Daphnia pulex: one gene and its partner. The protein of the gene in region 2 interacts with the protein of the main gene of each other region in a pairwise test. Links are inferred from orthologs where the notes say so. Each region holds a gene or a part of one and is shown on either strand. Other genes may lie near its edges. The genes, in order: guanine nucleotide-binding protein G(o) subunit alpha and G-protein-signaling modulator 2-like.

Evidence for each region.
Region 1: the proteins of G-protein-signaling modulator 2-like (region 2) and guanine nucleotide-binding protein G(o) subunit alpha interact in a two-hybrid assay, tested with the Drosophila melanogaster proteins (3 studies listed by BioGRID, with this or other methods). The link is inferred for Daphnia pulex from reciprocal best matches to the Drosophila melanogaster genes pins and Galphao.

Annotation. Positions count from the first base shown.
Region 1 is NC_060022.1:883,109-891,465, reverse strand, and holds the end of guanine nucleotide-binding protein G(o) subunit alpha, read left to right. Parts: exon of another isoform or gene 1-5; intron 6-206; exon of another isoform or gene 207-311; intron 312-494; exon of another isoform or gene 495-648; intron 649-921; coding exon 922-1,050; intron 1,051-1,127; coding exon 1,128-1,257; intron 1,258-1,335; coding exon 1,336-1,489; intron 1,490-1,563; coding exon 1,564-1,751; 3' UTR 1,752-6,728; downstream 6,729-8,357. Other genes in the region: sulfotransferase 1 family member D1-like, read right to left, coding at 7,934-8,046, 8,153-8,333. UniProt on the Drosophila melanogaster protein: Guanine nucleotide-binding proteins (G proteins) are involved as modulators or transducers in various transmembrane signaling systems.
Region 2 is NC_060018.1:4,014,218-4,021,169, reverse strand, and holds the end of G-protein-signaling modulator 2-like, read right to left. Parts: coding exon 6,910-6,952; intron 6,820-6,909; coding exon 6,696-6,819; intron 6,506-6,695; coding exon 6,390-6,505; intron 6,259-6,389; coding exon 6,092-6,258; intron 5,956-6,091; coding exon 5,858-5,955; intron 5,768-5,857; coding exon 5,564-5,767; intron 5,322-5,563; coding exon 5,199-5,321; intron 5,013-5,198; coding exon 4,859-5,012; coding exon of another isoform or gene 4,724-4,858; coding exon 4,512-4,723; intron 4,410-4,511; coding exon 4,218-4,409; 3' UTR 3,758-4,217; downstream 1-3,757.

The DNA of each region.
Region 1 (8,357 bases), on a different chromosome or scaffold from region 2:
TTTATCTAAATCATAAATTTAAAATTGGTTACGAAAAAATATTGAAATAAAAAACAAACAAAGAAAAGTTGAAAATGAGACACTGGGTAAATCTTAATTTCATGGGGGAATCTAAGGTTTCCATATAATACACTGAATGCAAGCCATGCATCATTCAAATACGTAGCAGGACACAGGAGTAAAGTAATAACCCTTGAAATCATTACCTAAGCGTTGATGCTGAAATTGTTGAGTGATGATAGGTCCAACACGAGATAAATCAAAACTTGCTTATGATCTTGTGGTTATGATGGCTGGTGAAGGCCTCAAATCTGCACAAAAGTAAAACAAACAAAAATCTGAACAGTGCAAAGAAAATTGCCACTTCGACAGAGGGCTTACATCTTACATGACAAATGCTAACCAGGAATTACAATTTCACAAATTTGGAACAGATTTCTCTTCTATTTAAGCACCCATTATTATTCTATTTGTATTATTATTTTTATATTTACCTGCAGAAAAGTGATCGTTTCATTTTCTTTGTAATCTCTAATCTTACATCTTACATCTTTTGTTCCCTCTTTCAAAACGTGGAAGCAGACGACACTAATATTCTAATTAGAAATGCTTAGATATCGATAGAAATTATTTTTTTTAAATCGACCCCCAAATCCAAACCGATAAAAAAGTAAAAACGATAAAAGCAGTTTCCGATCGAACGACCGAAACGGCCACAATAAGACCCTCCAGAACCCTCTTGAAAGCCAAGAGGGAATAAATAATCATTCGAGAGTCCCCCTTACCATTCACATTTTCGTGTCATACATAATAATTACATATCTAGCTTGGTATCTTTATGGTGGACGGCTTGATCCTTCCTTTCGTCTTCTTTTCCAGGAAATAATCCAAGATCTTTGTATTATTATTTCCTGTTTTTAGCTTTTTAGACGATTTGGACCGATTGGGAGCCAAGGATTACCAGCCGACTGAACAGGATATTCTGCGAACGCGAGTCAAAACTACCGGCATCGTCGAAGTCCACTTTTCATTCAAAAACCTCAATTTCAAGTGAGTGCCGCATCGGTCGAGTTCTGACTGTGAGATTGTGACTGTAATATTTCATTGATTGATTTCTTCGTCATCAGATTGTTCGACGTCGGAGGGCAGCGCTCCGAGCGGAAGAAGTGGATCCATTGCTTCGAGGACGTGACGGCCATCATCTTTTGCGTGGCCATGTCCGAGTACGATCAAGTGCTACATGAAGACGAGACCACCGTAAGAATTTCTTAAATACAACTCAATCAATTTATTATTTGAATTTAAAAAATAATGAATCGAATTGATTTTCGACAGAACCGAATGCAAGAGAGTTTGAAACTGTTTGATTCGATTTGCAACAACAAATGGTTCACGGACACGTCCATCATCCTCTTCCTCAACAAAAAGGATCTCTTTGAAGAGAAAATCAAAAAATCTCCTCTGACCATCTGCTTCCCAGAGTACACAGGTAAAATATTATTTCCCAACCAACCCCAAATAATTTAATCAATTAAAACAAAAACGAACGGGAAATTGTTGCAGGTGCGCAAGAGTACGGCGAAGCGGCGGCCTACATCCAGGCCCAGTTCGAAGCCAAGAACAAATCAACGACCAAGGAGATCTACTGCCACATGACGTGCGCCACGGACACGACCAACATCCAGTTCGTGTTCGACGCCGTCACCGACGTCATCATCGCCAACAATCTACGAGGATGCGGCCTCTACTGAGCTCTGCCAGCCCCCCAAACTTTATACATTGAACTTTTTAAAAATTCATCATCCACTTTTATTCCCCCCTTTGATTTTGTATTCTTCACTTTGGGTTCAAATTCGAAGAAATTTCGTTTTCTCTCTCTCTTAATTTTGGGGTGGGATTAACAATTGTGTGGGGAAATTTCCCTCCTCGTCCAGCCCCACCTCTTTTTGCTCCCGGCCGGAACAAAAAACGGAAACAGGAAAATCGCGCGCACACACCAAAATGACGTCATCGCACAGTAAAATAATCCCAGACTGAAAAAATATAGTGAACCGTTTTCTTACCAAAAGCGCAACAAGAAAAGAGCAGCTCATCTCTCCCGACTCTTGTCGACTGTCATTTTTTTTGGGTTTCTAAATTATTCCTTTCTGCCTGTTGTTTGTTTCTTTTTTCTTCTATCTCTCTCTCTCTCTCTTGCCCACTCAAAAACACTCCCGCGTTCGGAAGGGAAAAAATCTTCCTTCCTTGTCTGAACCGGATGTCGTCGGCTCACGTCGTTTACGTCAATCGCGTCATCATCAGACCCAACTGTTCTCCCTGTCTCAAAAAAGCGCACGCTAGTCAATGCCCCACCCACTGCCCCAACAGCCTCTCTCTCTCCACATATAAAAGAAGAGATGAAAGTCGACGACAGCCGCTCCCGCACACGAGGAGAATTGCACAAAAGAGAGAGAGAGAATTCACGGGAAGATGAATCGATTTAACAAAAAGGGGCGGGCGGGGGGAACTTATTATTATGATTATGTAAAAGACGAAATAACTCTCCCACAATGTCGAGAGGCCAGCAGCCAAGTCCCCTGAAAAAATAAGAGGAAGCAAAAAAAAATGCGCGCGTGCTGTGTGTGTGTGTGTGTAAAGGAGATGACATTCCAATCTTTGATTTCAAAGCTCTTTTTGATTTCTCTCCGCACGCTTTTTTGCAAATTTCTTTTGTTATCTCGTCGTGTCCCTTTTTTTAATTTTCGAACGCACCGGCGTCACCGAGACGAGAGAGACTGAACGAAACCGACGGAAGGAAGAACAAATTTAATTCGTTTACCTTTTGATATTTCGAGAGAGTCGTCGTTTTGCTGTGCCATTTTCTAAAAAAAAGAAAAACAGAATGTCGACATCAAAAGAAATCCAAAATGTCAAAGAGAATTCGAGAGAGAGAGAGAAATTAGCCCGAACAAATAACTAGAAAGAAAAGACTCACGGTGCAATTTCGATTTGTTTTATGTATCGACGTTCTTTTGATCTATTGAACAAAAAAGCGTCGCCGTAGCGCAATTTGAAAATGTCGTTTTTACTTTGATCGGGAAATGGCTGAAAAAGTTTGTTTTTCAAATTTCCCCCTCGGGACCGATACGCCATCAATTTTCCCTATCGAATCGGTCGGTCTCTCTCTCTCGACGTCGTTATTTGACAATGTCGATAAGAATGGCAACCTTTTTTTTCTTTTCTGGAATACGGGCATTTGTTTGATTGGTTCTAGTCAATTTCAGTGGCATCACGTCGGCATCAACTAACCCCAGGGAGGATTTAAGAAGAAAGAAAAAAAGGGCAATTGAATATTTCGAGACGTGCGTAACAAAAAGGAATGGGAAACTTTTTCTTACTTTCTTACCGCGGACATGACCAATGAGGATTGTCACGTCCGTTTCTGTATAATCATCCATCTACCCTCGTCTCTTCTATTGCTCGCCGTTTTTCCTCATCGTCGTTATTGTGCCCATCAAAGTCGCTGTAAAACAACTTGCCTCTCTCTCTTTCACCTTGTGTTTTTCTTCTCTTAGCTGGACGTTACAGCACACGCTGCACTTATTTGATTTCTTGTGTGTGTGTCTCTCGTTTGCCAATTTGTCCAACATTTTCGTTCAATTTGTTTGTTTCCTTGGCCGTTTGCGCGCAAAACGTGGCTCTTTTGTTTCCTCTCATTTCCTTCTTTGCTTCAAGAGCGGGATACTAAAAAAAAAAAAAAATAAGAAATTACTAAATAGATTTGGCAAGGGTCCAAACCTCTCCAGAGTGAGAGAGAGAGAGACAAAAAACAAAAATTAATTTACACAAAAAACCGCACACCCAAAAACCCAGCGGATATATAACTATAATGTTGCTGCTGCTGCCATCCCGACACACACTTTGTTATTTCATTTTTTTTTTTTTACCCTCCTGTCTCTCCTTCCTGTTTCTGTTTTTTTTTTTATAGTTAGAAAAAGCTAAACACCCGGGCTAATCTAATATCCTTCTTGGGCGGAAAACGGGGAATTTCTCGGATGAATTAGATTTTACCTTTTTTATTTCATTTTCTTTTGGTTTTTTGTTGTTCGCTCGCTCTCCAGCACGCTCGTATATTTGTTCTTTATATATGTGGATTCCATCGTTCCATTCGATACAATCAATATGTTTAGATTTGAGAAAAAGAAGATAGGGGCGAAACAAGAAATTTTTTCTTTTTTTTTAATTTTCCTGCTGGGCTTGGGGGAAAGAAAAAAATCTGTTTAATAACAAGAGCGAAAAGAGAAAAAAACTTTCAGAGCTTTTGATTTTTAAAATGACATGAAAAAAAAAAGCTTTGATTAGACGAGAGACACCTTCACTTTCGATACCCAAAACCGTCGTGCGTGTGTGTGTGTGTTTGTTATTATACTCTATTATAATCCCCAATGATGTTCTTCTCCTTTCTTCTTCATTCTTCTCCTTCCACGGCGTTTCAACGCGCCCAATCTACGTAGCTACTTTGATAGCGCTTATTATTTGACACGAAAGAAGAAAAGATATAAACCGAAAACTAAACTAAAAAAAACAAAAACAAAAACAAAAAAAACAACTAAAAAATACGCAAAAAAACAACAAAAACAAACAAACAAACAAAACAATGATCGTTATATACATAATTATATATATTTCGCCTGGCGATGATGCCGCTGCACCCCTCCACCACACCACACCTTGTTTTTTTCCCGCGCGGCTTTTCGATTCGAACTCAATTCCCGACCGAAACGTAAAAGAAAACAAGGCAACAACAAGCATCCAATCTCCAAAATGATAATCTTAACCAATTTTGAGGAATAGAAATTAAAAAAAAGAATAAAAAAAGGCGCACAAAAATTGATCACAAACAACACCTGGACAAAAAGTTGGTGTGAAATTCAACTCGAGTCAAGGTGCAACATATTTCGGCTCTCTCTCTCTCTCTTCGTAAATCATCGTCCGCATTCAAAGCAATTGGCAAGGCACAAGAAAATGTTTTTTTTTTTTCGTTTCTAATTATTTCCCCGTGTGTTATTTTTTTCTTTTTGGAAAAGAAAAATTACCAACCAAACTAAACATTTGGATTTTGATAACTTTGTAGATGCTTTTGTGCGTTTATAATTGTATGATAGCCGCTAGAGGTTATTACTGTCGAGTTGCGGGAGGGGGTTATTTGAAAAGCGGTTGGAAGTCAAAAAGTCAAACTGGGAATCAGTAACACCTCAATTTTTAGGGGGGAGAGGGGTAACTGGAGAAATGCTTAAATGACCATTGCGACATTCTCTCCGTCGTCATTTTATTCAAACAAGACCTTCCTCATTTTTCTTTCCCCCTTATCTCTTTGAATTGGCCCATTTTCCTTCTCTGTTGTCTCCATACACTTTCTCTCTCTGTCCTCATTTTCCTTTAAATGTATCCGTTGTCATGTAATCGCCATAAAACCTTCCCAGCTATCACTTTGCGACTCGGAGATTGATTCTAATCAAATCAAAATCATCTCACCTAGTCAAAATTTTTTTTTAAATCTTTTGATCTTATTTCTTTTACCACGCCCACCTCCCTTGTTTGAGATCGTGAGACAATATAAAATATGAGAAGTAAAAAAAGAAAAAAACTAAACTAAAATCGCTGATATATAATTCGAAATTGAATTGTTAGGCTTTGAATACCCGGCTCCTTTTTTTTTTTTTAATTAAGCCCCTCAACCTCCTTGATAGGAAACGATTAAAATTCGATTTTTCAATGTGTCCAGACTCGCGTGTCAAGTGATGATGATTTTTATTGTATCATGTAGAAGCGCTTTCTTCGATTCCCTTTTGCGTTTGAAAATGTATCATTGCTGGACGACGACATCAAAGATAGCAGAAGAAAAACAAAAATTGCACACAAGATTTAATCCTATAACCGACAAATTTCAAAAAAACAAACAAAAAAACCAAAATGTTCGTTCGGGACTACTATTCCTTCCGTACTCTGTTGCGTTAAATAGGCTGTGCGTGTATTGCTCTAATTTTCCAGATTAGTTATTTCATCCCCGCCAATTTCCCAAATCGCCAATCAAATCAACAAAATTGTCATGCAGCCCTCCTTAATTAAATTAGCTCGCCGAATTTTTTCCCATTTCCTTCATTTTTCCTCTCAACTGATTTATTATTATTATGACAACCTCTAATATCAACAGCAGTTGGCCAAATCTTCTTCTTCCCTATTACCCAACAACAAAAATAGGCGGGAAACCCCTCAAAATTCGAATTGATTCCCTCTCTTTCTCTCGCTCTCGTAAGTATATTCCTTTCGATCGTTTTGATTTTTCTTTTTTTTTTTCAGTATATATATATACATTGGTTATCCCAAAAAATATATATATCGGCTTGAATTTAATTGAGGTTGTCCCCCCCTCTTCTCGGCTCTATCTTGCGTTCATTTCCTTGTGATTCTCCTTCCTTCCTCACACTCTCATTCGTCTGGTTTGTTTCGTTTTTTCCTGCATCGCCTCTCAGTTTGTTTCATTTCATTCAATCGAGAAAAACAAAACAACCAATACCCAAAAATGGTAAAAGAAAAACACCTCTTCAACATATATTCTTCAGTTGGTTATTATTATTATTCATCTTTATATATGATTTGTGGGTTTCGATCTGAACAACAACAAGTTTATGTTGGTGTATTCTGTACATGGCGAAACAACAAAGTTTTAATGTAATTCCAAAAAACTCGTTTCGTCTTCACTTTACTTCTTTATTCAATTCGAATACTGACGCAATCATCGGTCACATTTTTAGGGAATCGACCATCGAAGATGTGACTAGCATTGCAAACTTAGTTTAAACTAAATTAATCTATTGAAAAAAACCATGTGTGTTTTAAGTTGTTCACCAACGAGAACCATTGAGAGATATGTTCACATGGATGGACAAGAAAACTCTAAGATGTCTGAAATGATCCCTTGATTATTTTGTTTTTTAAATTTTCTTCTAATTCGGCCAATAAAATGGCCTCATCCTGACGTCTGACAAGAAAAAAAGCTACTTCTGTGTCTGCCTATGCCAGCTTATTCTACACTACAAAATAATTCACACTCTGGTTTACAAAATGAAAACAAACATACCTGCAAAAATAGTAGAATGCTTGTTGTGAAGTGCACAAACTAGTCCCTTGTAAGTTTTTATCTCTGATTTCAAGTATTTTATCACACTCCAAAAATTCAAAAAAGATTCATGACTTTCATGTGTCGTTTGCTAAATTGTAGTCTGCAATCTTTTGCAGTTGCCAGATTTCGAAAATGAGTCGAAAATTGACTAGAAACATTTTTTGTAATTATCGAATTTTTTTCTAACTAAAAAAACTCAATCAAACTCAATCAAACTAAATAATTACGATTAAACTAGATATTGGAAAATCAAGATTTGCAACGTTAGGTAGGACGGTGATGAAGAGACTTCAACTACGGAATCTCAAGGCTTTTCCATAATGGCCGGGGACTTTTTCCCGTTTCAATTGTTCCCGCCGCCGCGTGAGCGACGAGTATAGTACGCGAAAAACGTCGTTTGCAATCTTGTTACCGCATCCGAGTTCTACTCGTCTCGGCTAACAAGGTGCGACAGCGCTTCTTCTCAATGATTCGGGTCGTTATTCACGGTGTCTCGCCACGTCAAAGTAACGTCTTCATAATGACTTGCCAATGCCGTAACCCAATGCATGTTGGCGTGAGCAGTATAATAAAAGAAGAAGGCTCGGTTATTATTCGATGGACAACCAGCCAACAAAGTGAACCCAAAATAATTACAATCTCCCAGGGTACGTGTAATTTTATTGCATTTAATATACAATCTATGTGAATATAGAAATCTTAACAGGACGATAAAAGGAAACCAATCAAACCATCACATTTTTTAAAGAAAGAATGAAGAAAATTCCCTGTTCAAATTTTGTCTACGAAGGTGATGTCACTCCCACGAAGATTCGATTCGGTCCACTCATCAATCTGGCGGCTCAGCTCGGGACTGAAATGTTTTTCCCAATCTCCCGTTTCACCTTTTGAACATTTCCCCCAAAAAACAATTAACAAGATGCATTGTAAAGAATAAGACGATTCTATTTTGGGAAATTAATTGAGAGTTCCCTCCCTTGTTTCCATTACCTTTACGCATGAATTGGCCATTTTCGTTGAAGGATCCCGAGGTTTTTCCATCCTCCTTATTCACGGCCGAGTTCTTTGACAGATTTTCAAAGGTCAGGTGCTGAGTGAGTTTTCCCAGCTGATCCTCGCTGAGGGATTTGCCGAGAAATTGGGCCACTCTTTCAATCCCGCCTCGTAAATCCTGCAAGTTCCAATCAGACAGTTA
Region 2 (6,952 bases):
TAGAGGGGGATAACAGCTCTCGTCTGTTGCCAGGCGGATGATGTAGGCTACATGGGTATATCCGGTTTTCCACTCTAAATTTCGTAACATAAACCTTCGCAGCGTATCCGTGTAAAAGGAAAGAATTCTATATAGGTAGGAAAAAAAAATCACTTTATTACGGCAACAATAATAAATACGGCCGGACTGTTGGCAGTTCAAGAATGGAGTGACCTTCTCCCGACCGGGGCAGTCATCCCCCTATCGACCGGCACCCATATGGGATATTAGGATAGCTCCCTAGAGTCTCCCAGAATTTTCGACTCGATGAGTTTGCATTATGGAAAGGATGCCGACGATATTGCTGATTTGTTATTGATTACTATCTGTATGCTCGAGTTGGGTAGACTCCATGGCCGGGCAGTGGACCGACGGTTAACTCGGCTCTCTCAAGACTCCTTGGCTTCCACACTCGCCCGGTTAACGATTTCAATTAGAATACAGGATCGACTAATTCGCCAAGTTCGCCGAGCGCAGGCTATATATAAGACATTCCATTATGGTTTCCTCGCTTGACTTCGCCTCCTTCTCTCCTTCTCGTTGACTGAATTGACTCTCATTAAGACCTGCTGGCCGGGGCACGAGGCAACCAGGACACGGCGCTACCTGATACTGCCAGCGCAGCGATGAGGGTCGCAACAGGATGGAGGATTGACTCGTCCCCCCCGTGTGTCTCGCCTGGGAAATAATAATGAGACTGGCCGGCAACTCGTTGCTCGGGAGACAGAATTTATCCCTCATTAACTCATTGGCTGCCCAAATTCTCGATTACCTCACGTGATTACAAATTGAGACCTAAAGGGATCCGATCCCTAGTCAAGATGAACAATAACAAAGCTCGCAGGATAAAGAAGAAGAAGAAGAAAAAGAAAAGGAGAGAGAAGCCAAACGGGAAGGCAAGTCGAAGTAATCTTGGAAATCAACAAAGTGCACTAACGAAAGTGCAACAAATCCGGCGAAGGGCTAGGACGTGGAATAAGACGAGATAAAACGAGGAAGGAAGGAAAAAAAGAAGAAGCCGGTGGACACTATAAACAAAATTAATGGAGAAATAAAAGGAAATAAAAAAGATCCTTTCTCAAAAGAAGATACGCAGACACACAAGAACATATACGTATACCTGGAAGATAAAGAACGGAGAGAGTATGGTAAGGTATAGGAGTGTATATATATACAACATTCAGGAGTCAAAAGAGTGAAAGGGGTGGATCGATCACGAACGGTGCCCATCTCCGGCACGGCCTCGACTACGTCTCAGAGTCTAAACTTGACCCAAGTGCGTCACATTAAAACAGAATCGGTGAGATCCATTTTTTTTCTGTCCAATAAGTCTTATGTCTCTAAGAAAAGCAAACAGGGAGAGAAGAAAAGAAAAATGGACCAACCCGAGGGGGGTGTAGAATGGATTGGATTCCAAGAATTGAGGGAAGAATACGTAAGGAAGAAGAAGTAAATCAAATCAAATCAAAGAAAAACGATGTCCAATATCGCCACGGTCAGCTATCCCCCCCAGAAAAAGAAAAATGGTCCAACAAATCAAAGAAAAGCAGAATACGACTACGCACTACACCAGGTTCGACGTTTCAAGTCGAGTGTGAACGAAATGGAAAAACCAAATAAACGCCAAAGCAAAGCAAAAAAGAATATTAGGAAGGCCGGGGGTGAGGGTCCGTGAAAAGTTCCGAGATCGATGGCAATCACGTAAAGATGCGCCAAATAAGGCGGACTCTCCTTGCCGATGACTCCCGCAGCAGTCCGAGAGATATATAAAAATAAAATAAAAGGTCGATGTCGAAAGAAACACGACAACAAAGTGGCGGGGGGAGAACCTGAGGAACCAGACCGAGACTGCTACATTCAGTCAGACAGTATTTGAGAAAGGAAACAAATAAAACGGAGAGAGAGAGAAAGGAAAAGCAAGTAGATCTAGTGAACTTTGCGAACCGAAGCGACGGACATGATTCTGCCATCGAATCATGGAGAATTTTACAAGGATAAAAAGAGGGAAATGTAAAAAGAATCACGCAATCGCTTTCTGTTTATTTTGTTTGTTTGCTCTAGTCGTCGACTCGCTTCAATCGGATTCGGAAAAAAAAAAGAAAAAAGTTTTTTAATAGAACCGGGCGACGTGTGCAAAAAGAAAAGACAGAAAACCGGATACCCATCTGCGCTGTATCGGTATCTTGATACCCCTCCTATCCGGCATTATACGGAACATCCAGCTCGTCTTTTGAATCGTAAGGCGATTTGTCAAATAAAATCAAGAGGGACGACCAAAATTGTACAAGGTCTAAGCGACTGGGACGTGACGGAAGCGCGCGGATGACGTCGGCAACCCATCGGGGGCTCGTTCCGCCTTCGACCAACGCCCAGACTGCAATAATTCATCTCGTCTTGGATCGTTAACAAACAGCCCAGCGACTCGTGGAGAAATTACACGCCATTTTCTTTACGACGCACCAAGTCACCGCAGTCGTCGACTGTCGAGTCGTCAAGGAACTTGAGAATGTCACGCCATCATTTCTCTTTGTGTCGGACGCCGTACCAATCTACTAATGGTTATGAGGACTGAAATGAAAGTCAAACCCAATTTTGAGCTCCATCATAATTTGTACATCATCGTTGACAGCAACGAAAAAAAAAAGAAAAATAAGAAAACATGTACGTTTTACAAGTGGGGGGGGGCACACGGAGGAGATGGAAAGAACGTTGGGGGAAGGATTGGTGCAGTCGCCACGGCAGTTTCATTTTATCGTGAAAACAGAAACTGTTGCACATACAAGACAAGAGCCGTTCAACCTAAAAAAGACTGGAGGAGTTTGTTCCGGGCAAGATGTGTAGCCTAAGAGAGGTGTGTATAAGAAAAGCAACGAGGCGGAGAGGGAGGTAAGACCTAAAATCGGCGCGATACACACACTGACATACACGTCCATTTAGGGAATATTATTATTATTATTTTTTTGTAACTTTTATCTTTATGTTCTTCTCGTAAAATGCCCACCTGGACCCAACAGTTGGAATCAAGACAATTGGGGCGAGAGAAATACAGAAGAGGAGGAAGAAAGAGAAGTTGGACTGAGAACGACGCAGCTGGTTTGGATTACACATGGCGGCACGTCTAAATGTTGTATCAACACAACAAAAAAGAAATGGGCAACAAGAATTCAAGTTGAACATTTCAATAAAGGAGGAGGGGTGGGCCTTGGAAGTTTGGGAGGGAACAGAATCGGTGCCGTGCAACAAGACAGACCCAAGAAAATAATAAAAGTTTGCGCACGCGTATGGAAGATGTTGAATATCAAACAGGATTCATTTTACTCGCGTGAAAAATAGAACAAAGTGCTCTCGTTCCAATCCCCTTTTGGCCCTCGCTTTTTATGTTGGGAGGAAACAAAAACACGACTCGTTTACCCCCCACCCCCATAGGCATCTGCATTTACATCTCTTTCACGTCAGTCCTCGACAAAAAAAGAAACATTTTCATTTCGCTACAATAATAAAACGAAAATATCCCGAAGGAAAGGAGCCCACCAAGCACCAAAGTGAAAAGATAACGAGAAATCGAATTTTGTTTTTTTCCCCTTCTTGCTCACACTGTCGCCAACTTAATCTCATCTCTAAAAACTTCCATGACAAACAATTTCGTTTTCACGACAACAATGATGACTTTCCACTGCAGATCCAAGAAAGAAAAAAAAAAGATGGGGACAAAAATAAATAAAACGAGGAATAGGCCTATTTATTGTCTTCTAACTGCCTTTCACGTTGGGAGTAGGAACAATGCTCTGCCAACGGAATAGAAAGAGAAGACAAGAACTGCCATGTTCGGAAAAAAAAAGGGACTCCTTTGAACTCGTGTGCAACCATGCGGGAACGGACAATCAACCCCCCCTTCCCCTTGTTTGTTCCCCAAAGGAGGAATGGTGAGATTTAATTTTCGCGATTTCTACTTCCAGGAGGAGGCAGAGAGCGAATGAAATGGATGTGAAGTTGGAAGAGTTTTTTTGGAAAAAAAAACTCGGTCAAAAGTAAAAGAAAAAGGGAATGGCTATTTTTTGAAACGAATAAAAATGGAGAGAGGGTATTGATAGAGACTGTCAACATACATTTCGATCATGGATGAGAGCTGATGGCGAGGAGGGGTAAAACATTCCGAGAGGTTAGGGATACCGTTCCGTCTAGGAGGAAGTGGCGGCAGCTCCGTTGGCAGCGATGAGAGGTGAAGGATCTTCGGCTCTTTGATCCTCGAGTCGACCCGATTGGAGTCGCATTATCAACGAGAAAAAGTCTTCGTCGGGCATGGTGGGCCCCCTGTGCCGCCGAGGCGATGTATCCGGCAAGGCGCTGCGCTGATCTTCCAGCCTCGTACCCTACACGATGAAAAAAATAAAAAGTAAAAAATCATTTTAAAAAGTCGTTCGTGAAAAAGAAACGAGTACAAATTCGGCCAAAAAGGTGGAAGAATATCTAACCTGACACCGCATCAACATTTCGAAGAAATTCTCATCGGGCAATGCGGCTGCATCCTCGCCGGCTGGCTCCACAGACAGCCGACGTAAAATGTCTGGATTGGCGTTGTTCAGGCCGGGTAGTCGCGGTAGTGAAGCTCTCTGCTCATCCATCCGGCGACTCTGCATGCCGGCGATCAGGTCCATTAAATCTTCCTTCAATCTCGACGGGCTCTCTATCGAAACAATATGCGAAAAAAGAGGAAAATAAAAACACACTCCCTCGTAGAAGCAGGCAAACGAAACAAAACTCGGGGCGACGCCAGGAGCGCGTATCCCCCCTCCCTGGTTTCCCTGGAAAAACAACTCACCGTGAATATTCGACGGGAGTGTACTTGCTTGTTGGTTCTCCTTGTTGTCTACGATTGCCAACGAGCAACGCTGATCGTCCATGCGTTTCGATTGGAATTGAGTGACCAAATTAAAAAAGGATTCCTCTTCATCCATGGCGTCGTCTCCGTTGGCCTATCGTATTGCAAAACGAAATGGATTCCGGTTAGCAACAGGGTAGTAACGGACAGAAATAGAGAGACAAAAACAACAAGCGAGACTATGAGATGTGACAGTTGTGATAGACTGGCAGCGAAAGAAGCAGACAGACGAACGAGCCATCCGATAGAGCCGGATCAAGAGAGGATTGTTGAAACTTACAAACGGGGGCAGCATATCACGTCTAACCAACGGGTGACCAGCGAGCGGTCTAGGCCACACAGGATCCATTTCATGCAGTTCCCGGCGTCCCTTGCTATGAAGTTGTTTCACATCCGGCGTCAGCTGGATTAATCACAGTGCAAGCAACCGAAATTGAAACGGACCAACGAAAACAATGATGACGGTAATAAAAATAATAATAAAATCGCCATGCTGCAGATTTTGCCAAGAGAAAAAATAGAAGTTTTGGAAGGTCTCCGGTAGATTTCCCACCTTCCCAAGTTTGAACGCGAGGGTGCGGTATGCGAGAAAATAGAAGCCAAGAATAATAACAAAGCGACAAAAGCGGACGAACACAAACAAACCTTGAGCAAATCCATGCGCTCCATGCTTAACCTGCGCCTTGCCTTGCTATCTGCTCCGTAGAGTCCGTCGTCGTCGGCCTCGGAAGCGTGACCTTTCGTTGAGTTTCCCATGCCGCCGCAACCACCGTCGCCGTCAACGCCCAATGTGCGTCTCAAGTCGGCCAAGTTCATCTGTGCTGTCGCCTCGCCGGTCGGATCGCCAATCTTAGAGATGGAGAAAAGAGGGTAACGGTCATTTTACGCCATAACCATTAGTCCATTAGTAGGTCGGTTGATTGGTTCGTGTTGGCTCACCTCGCGGGATATTTCAAGGTGCCGTTGTGCGTAGTGCAGGGCTTTCTCGTGATTTCCCATGGCAGCGTGTGCATTCCCCAAGCTCCAGCAAGCACGTCCTATTGGTGACGGTCACGAAACAAACCGGAACAATGTTAATGGCGATCACAGGGAAGAAAGATTTTCCAAATTTAAAAGAACAAACAAAAAACAACCCGAAAGAAAATGAGCACCGAGTTCTCAGCACCGACTAACCTTCTCCAACTTTATCCATTAGCTCTTCAGCAATACGCAAGTGCCGCAGATGGTAATCGATGGCTGTGGGATAATCGCGAAGCAGAGTATACGTATTTCCCAGGCTGTAACAGGCTTGCGCTTCGACGGCTCGATCTCCGAGATCCTGTGCAAGTAGGAGTGTTTTCCTGAGGGAGAGGGGGGTAAATTGAATTTGAATGGGATTTCTTTAAAGTTTAAAGACGCTCGACGATTCCGTCCTTTTCATACGCAAATTACGGAAACTTTCGATCAGTAAAAAGGAAGTCGCTGTATTTACTTGTAATGTTCTGCAGCCGTTTCGAACTCTCCGAGGAAGATGTGCGCATTTCCCAGGTTGCTGTGGGCTCTCCTTTCGGCTGCTTTGTCCCCAAATTCTCGAGCAATATTCAGTCGCTAGAAGCACAATTGAAAAAAGAAAGTGGGCGATGAAAGAAGATTTTTCGCTCACGTAAACCACGAATAATTTGTCCCGATTGTATCGATTTTAATCTCCCTAAGCCTTCCCTATTAAACCTTCGTTTTTTTTACAACCCATACACACGATATCATAAGATATACATTTTTTATAGCCAAAAACGCTCACCTCTTGATGATATTTTATGGCTTGCGTAAAGCTACCCAAGAGATAATGGGTATTGCCCAAGTTCCCGCATGCCCGACCTTGGGCAGCACGATCGGTTATTTCTCTCATGAGTTCAAGATTTTCTCTATTAAGACGAAAACCAAAAGATAATGTTAATCAGAACGGGTAAGTAAAATCCAATCTCAACTTCCTCTTGGAAAAAATAAAAACTCACTCGTAATAATTTACGGCTGTTAGCAGGCAGTTCCGCACGTCTT